Danio rerio: one gene and its partner. The protein of the gene in region 1 interacts with the protein of each later gene in a pairwise test. Links are inferred from orthologs where the notes say so. Each region holds a gene or a part of one and is shown in the gene's direction. Other genes may lie near its edges. The genes, in order: psmd5 and psmc2.

Region 1 (3,827 bases):
ATAGTATGAATTAGCATGTTACTAGCATGATTCTAGCGTGAATTAACATGTTATTAGCATGATTCTGACATTCATTAGCATGTTACTAGCATGATTCTAGTATGAATTAGCATGTTATTAGCATGATTCTAGTATGAATTAGCATGTTACTAGCATGATTCTAGTATGAATTAGCATGTCACATAGCATGCTTAGGTGGTTGCTAGGGTATTCTGAGTGGTTGCTAAGTCGTTGCTAGGCAGTTGCTAGGGTGTCCTGAGTGGTTGCTAGGTGGTTGCTAAGATGTTGCTAGGCGGTTGCTAGGCTGTTGCTAGGTGGTTGCTATGGTGTTCTGAGTGGTTGCTAGGTGGTTGCTAAGGCATTGCTTGGCGGTTGCTAGGGTGTTCTGAGTGGTTGCTAAGATGTTGCTAGGTGGTTGCTAGGGTGTTCTGAGTGGTTGCTAAGGTGTTGCTAGGCGGTTGCTAGGGTGTTCTAAGTGGTTGCTAGGTTGTTGCTAAGGTGTTGCTAGGTGGTTGCTAGGGTGTTCTGAGTGGTTGCTAGGTGGTTGCTAAGGTGTTGCTAGGTGGTTGCTAAGGAGTCCTAAGTGGTTGCTAAGCGGTTGCTAAGGTGTTGCTAGGTGGTTGCTAGGGTATTCTGAGTGGTTGCTAAGGCGTTGCTAGGCGGTTGCTAGGGTGTCCTGAGTGGTTGCTAGGTGGTTGCTAAGGTGTTGCTAGGTGGTTGCTAGGGTGTCCTGAGTGGTTGCTTGGTGGTTGCTAAGGCGTTGCTAGGCAGTTGCTAGGGTGTTCTGACTGGTTGCTAGGTGGTTGCTAAGGTGTTGCTAGGCGGTTGCTAAGGTGTCCCAAGTGGTTGCTGGGTGGTTGCTAAGGTGTTGCTAGGTGGTTGCTAGGGTATTCTGAGTGGTTGCTAAGGCGTTGCTAGGCGGTTGCTAGGGTGTCTTGAGTGGTCGCTAGGCCCTTACTAAGGCATTACTAGGCCGTTGCTAGGTGGTTGCTAGGCGGTTGCTAGGGTAATTTGGGTGGTTGCTAGGCAGTTGCTAGGGTACCCTGGTTGGTTACTAGGCAAGCCTCACATACATGCCTGATAAAACGTTTATACTTAGTAAGCATTTCTAGCAAGTTACAGTACTTGGCTAGTCAATATTAGCATGTAGCTAATCACTGCTAGCATGTGTAGCATTTAGGAAGTTCCGTTTGCTAGCATGAGTCAAACGAGCCAATCTCCAAGTCTCTACGATGTTCTGATGCTGAGATATAGCTGTTGATGAATGGTTGCTAGGGTACTCTGTTTTGTTGCTATGGGCGAGGTTACAGAGTGCACTTGATTGTGGTTTGCTGTCTAAGTCAAATGAACCAACCCCCATGTCTCTATGACACTGCTATGCAAAGATATGCATCTTGGCCTATTTTAATGGAAGTCTATGGAATCAATTTGGGGGCGTGGCTTGTGAGCTTCATTATCATATTGAGATGCTCATTGGTTGTCTGAGTCAGATGAGCCATCCCCCAAGTCAATAGGACACTGCTAAGCAAAGATATGCATGTAGGCCAGTTATTAACATGAGTCTAGTATGAATTAGCATGTTACTAGCATGATTCTTGAACAAATTAGCATGTCATTAGCATGTTTCCAGTATGAGTTAGCATGTCATTAGCATGATTAGCATATGAGTAGCATGTTGCTAGCATGATTGGCATGTCATTAGTATGTTAGAATTATAAGCATTTGATAGCACAGCTAATTACAGTCTATAGGCCAGTTGCTAGGGTGCAGTATGTGGTAGTTAGGGGTGTGGCTAGAAAGTTAAAAGCTCATCAGTTATTGGTAGTTTGGTAGTCTAAGTTAAATGAGCTCAGCCATTAGTCTGTAGGACAGTCTGATGCAGAGTTATGAGCTCACAAAGTTTGATCCCATGTTAAGTCAATGAGAGTCTTTTGTAATGGAAGTCTACGGGACAGTTGCTAGGGTGCAGTATGTGGTAGTTAGGGGTGTGGCTAGAAAGTTAAAAGCTCATCAGTTATTGGCAGATTGGTAGTTGGAGTTAAATGAGCTCAGCCATTAGTCTGTAGGACAGTCTGATGCAGAGTTATGAGCTCACAAAGTTTGATCCCATGTAAAGTCAATGAGTCTTTTTTAATGGAAGTCTACGGGACAGCTGCTAGGGTGCAGTATGTTGTAGTTAGGGGTGTGGCTAGAAAGGTAAAAGCTCATCAGTTATTGGCAGTTTGGTAGTCTGAGTTAAATGATCTCAGCCATTAGTCTGTAGGACAGTCTGATTCAGATTTATGAACTCACAAAGTTTGATCCCATGTTAAGTCAATGAGAGTCTTTTGAATTGAAGTCTATGGGACAGTTTCTAGGGTCCAAAATTGGTTGCTAGGGCGTGGCTAGAAAGTTTAAAGGTGATCAGTCATTGGCAGTTTGATAGTCTGAGTTAAATGAGCTCAGTTAGAGTTCTGTGCGACAGTCTGACGCAGAGTTACGAGGTAACAAAGTTTGGTCCAATGTTAAGTCTATGGGATTTTTCCGACAGTCCCGGGACGTTTTTCGGAAAACCGAAAGTTGGATCAGTCCGAGGAGATATGGCATACCGAGTCAGACCAGTTTGGAGGTCTGGTGTGAGTTTGGTGGTAATAGCTTGAAAGTTCAAGGAGTAGATAGAGTTTGAATTTTAGTCTCAGAAGAAGAATAATAATAAAATTAATAATAATAATAAGTTTAAATAGTAGAACAGTAGTCTGGCTTTGACAAGCCAGCCTAATAATAAGTTTACGTGAGATAACAGTATGTTGGCTTTTCAAGCCACCATAATGAGCTTAGTGCAACTATAAAGACATTTAAAAAACGCAGTCAGCACATTATAAGGAGAATCACAATGCATTACCTTTTTTTTTCATTTGTGTCTGTGTCCACAGATTGGCCGTGTGGCTGGACATGCTGAGGGAGTGACGCAGATGCTGAACAATGTAGAAATCCTGCATGACGTGATTCAGTGCATCAGTGTTGAACGCATCGCTGTGGCCAAAGAGGTACAGAGATAAACAATGACACACAATGGCACACTATGCCCTATGTACCTATGCACTAATATATGTATGTAGTATCGTCCCAAATGAAGCACTAATGATTTTTTACTTAGCGGAAATTCAAACCATTTCCCAGATGACGTTTGCTGGTTGCCAAATTAGTGAAATAACTGACCAAAGTACCAAATAATACCTGCCACAAGTATAACCCATATAGACTGTAAAATATATGGACGTAGTATCCGTGACGTCACCCATAGGTTTCTGAACATGCAAAAGAAGCCACAAGTAGGCGCGGCCAATCGTCGCCATTTTGTTCACGCGTCATCGCACCCACAGCGGGAAAACAAACAAGAGCAAAGAGGCGGAAAGTGAGCGGAGCTACAGACACCTGCTGGCATTTTGCTTGGACCTGGCTTAGACAGACATTTGGAAAACGCTTAATACTTTATTACCTGCGACTCGTTTATGTTCTGACCACTTGTGCTTGGCTGTACACTATATCAATAAAGTGTTCAGTCTTTTAAAAACACTGCTGTAACACATTGAGCCACTAAACATTGTTCTTATGACGTTTTTCTACAGGAGGAAAATGCTAATTACTTCTTACACTTACACAAATACACTTCAGATATAGTCTGTGTTAGTAAATGCAGGACTATTGATGAATTATAAATGATCCTAAATAAAACAAAAACATTTTAAAAAATGGCATATACGTATATAACTTTACTCACATGGGAAATAGAGGCCACTTGAATGGTTTGTGAGAACAATTAAGTGCACACAGCACGCCATGCCATC
Region 2 (3,239 bases), on another chromosome or scaffold:
TCAGTAAACCTCTTGGGGATGTGCTTTAGTAGATTGACACCTCAGGGTCAGATAGTGACTATCTTACATGTTATATTAGCTGTATTTAAATATAAGATATTTAGACAATATCTTGTGCTAGTAACGGAGCACTTCACAGTAAGACCCCCTTAAAATTAAGACATCTCGAAAACTGAATTGTCAAGATATGTTTTTAAATATAAATCAAGCCCTGAGCATTAGTCACTGCAATAAAGATCCAATCGTAGGCTGTGTCTGAAATTGCTCCCTGTGCCCTTAAATAAGGCGCTATTTGAGGTGACATTTGTAGCAGTGTCTGAGACTAAGTTCAATCCTATAATGCATCAGCTGATGTGCTATGAGTGGTTAAAAAACACTCACAATGATCTAAAATAGGCTCATGGCAAATGAATTCCCACATATTACCAGAAGATGGTGCCCAAAGCTGAATCATCTATCCATTTTCCAACCAAATTGTACAATTGTACAAATTTTGAATTCATGAACCCTTTAACTACCCCACCCAGAAATGTTTTTACCCAGCATTTTTTTAACTCCTAATGTTGCAAGTTAACACACTTAATGTTTTTTTTTTTTTCAACATCCTATAATTTCTAAAATATCAGCCTCTACCAAATGATTGAAATGTCGGTTTATGGTAAAAGTACTGGAATTAATACATATAAAAAATCTGAAAATATGAAGTGTAAGACCACTTTATTTCAAAATATTCAAAATAAAACATTTTTGAATACTACATCTTTATTTTTTAAGTATGCCATCAAATATTTTAGATTCTCATTCAATATGCTTTTTTATACAATAAAACCAAATTAAGTGTAGAAGTGCAACAGGATTATGTTTGTTTGGTATTTTTTTTATAAACCAACAATGCTGTAAGACATTATTTAAAACAGTCATTCTTTAAATGACTTTAACAGCCATAATTTAAAACAGTCAATATGTGGTCAACCGTTTTGTTGAGCAGGCAGTTAATGGATTAATAAATTGCATAATTTAGAATTATGTGAACTAAATTTTAAAACAGTGTTGCATTATTACAGTTGCTTCCAGTTTGCTTAGTTTCAAATAATAAACAGCAAGGAACGACCACTAAGGTCATCATTTACTCCTTCAGGTGGACTATATTAGTGAACTAATGAAGGTAGCGGTAAATGAGATAACATTGGGTTATTTTAAACAATTCTATTAAATTTATTGTTATTGTTTTGTTTTTTGTCCATCTAAAAAGATAATTCTGTCATTTGCTTGAATCATGTTGTTCCAAACTTCTTCCTTTAAACCAAAACACCTTATTAGTTTGATAGAAGAAATACAAGAAATAATTATTTTGGCGAGGAAAAAAAACAACAGAGGAAAAATGGGATCTAAAACAGTTACCAACATTCATCCAGGTACTTTATGCCTACTGCTTTATTAGCATACCTTTTGTCTACTATATAATAGGGAAGCCTTAATTGGACACCTAATAACTGCACTATTGCTTTGCTCTAATAGGTGCCCGTTTTGATGATGGCGCTGGAGGTGATAATGAAGTGCAGAGAACGATGCTGGAGCTGATCAACCAGCTGGACGGATTCGATCCCAGAGGGAACATTAAAGTCCTGATGGCCACCAACAGACCAGACACCCTAGATCCTGCTCTGATGAGACCCGGCCGTCTGGACAGAAAGATCGAGTTCAGCCTGCCTGACCTGGAAGTAAGTATTAAACCAATCCAATACAATAGGCCATTTCAATGTGGCGATGTCACTGGCCCATAAACATTTCCTGCTTGTTATAAAACTATTTCATAACTATAACAAGAGGCAATTCAATCATAACTTGAGGGTAAAACCGCTATCATAACATTATTTATCATTATGTGGCTCTATTTGGATTCTCAGAAGCTATAGAAATTAAAAATAGGAAAATGGAAATATGTTGGGACTATTGATTCGTTTACCTCCCTCAAAATGGTCTATAGTGTAAGCAGTGGAAGAATTACAATAGTGACAAGGAAAAACTACTGCTACTTGTCATTTAACATCACATTCTGATTAATATGTAATGATTTGTTTTTTTTAGGGACGTACTCACATCTTCAAGATTCATGCCCGCTCTATGAGTGTGGAGAGAGATATCCGCTTTGAGCTTCTTGCACGACTCTGTCCTAACAGCACAGGTTAGTCCTTACTAGCAAACATGAAAGCACATTATACTTGCAAAGACTTAAAGTTTCCAGCTTAAGTTCACGTTGCTTGCTGTGTTTTTCTCCCCTCAGGTGCTGAGATTCGCAGCGTGTGCACGGAGGCTGGAATGTTCGCCATTAGAGCTCGTAGAAAAATCGCCACGGAGAAAGACTTCCTGGAGGCCGTGAATAAGGTCATCAAGTCTTACGCCAAGTTCAGCGCCACCCCTCGCTACATGACTTACAACTAAACCTCTTGTATGTGCTTTTCTGTTTGTTTTCTGCCTGATATAATTCAAAGATTCCTGTCGTTCTGTGATGTCACGTATCCAATAAAAACATTATCCATACTAGATGTCCTCTGTATTATTTTTAAGAAAAAATATTCCCTCAGAAACGTCTTTCACACACAAACTAGCAAGTGAAAGAGGGTCTAATTTGTAAGTTGGCATTGAAAGCTATTTTATACCCATTTAAAAATATATAAATAAATTGGAAGGCACTTTTAAGGAATAAACATTTAATAATTTAGAGTTGTGATTTGCATTTATTATACAATAAAAAATATCCTAAATTCACAAATGCATAAAAAGACAATAAAATACACTGCCGTTGCAACTGATTGTTGAACTTTGGTCTTCATTACCCCCCAATAAAACAGCATCTAAATATTAGTACAGAATAAAATATATATATTTATAAAATCCTTATGAGCACAAAGAGTGCCCGGAGTGACCATTTCATAGGCAGTGTCTGCGTCAAACATCAGAGACTTCATGTAACGCTTCATGTGATGTCTGCTGCTTGAAATGCGCTGTTTCAATAATCAATAACCAAGAACACTTTGTGATAATAATGTTTTTTGAAGTCACACAAAGAAAATAAATACAAACAGTAGGTTCAAACTAACCCTGGTGTGACCTAGATAAACTATTAGCCAAAAAAAATGTCACCGATTGAACTAAAGGGGCTGTAAAACCCTAAAGCGAAAAAGCACAATCAATATCTGGCAGCAAACGAAGTTGTTTTTCTCAGAAACGTCAGATTA

Evidence for each region.
Region 2: the proteins of psmd5 (region 1) and psmc2 interact in binary tests that used the Homo sapiens proteins (3 or more experiments, as listed by UniProt). The link is inferred for Danio rerio from reciprocal best matches to the Homo sapiens genes PSMD5 and PSMC2.

The regions. Positions count from the first base shown.
Region 1 is NC_133196.1:6,249,183-6,253,009, reverse strand, and holds part of psmd5 (26S proteasome non-ATPase regulatory subunit 5), read left to right. Parts: intron 1-2,912; coding exon 2,913-3,026; intron 3,027-3,827. UniProt on the Homo sapiens protein: Acts as a chaperone during the assembly of the 26S proteasome, specifically of the base subcomplex of the PA700/19S regulatory complex (RC).
Region 2 is NC_133179.1:15,512,728-15,515,966, forward strand, and holds the end of psmc2 (26S proteasome regulatory subunit 7), read left to right. Parts: intron 1-1,518; coding exon 1,519-1,721; intron 1,722-2,088; coding exon 2,089-2,185; intron 2,186-2,284; coding exon 2,285-2,442; 3' UTR 2,443-2,541; downstream 2,542-3,239.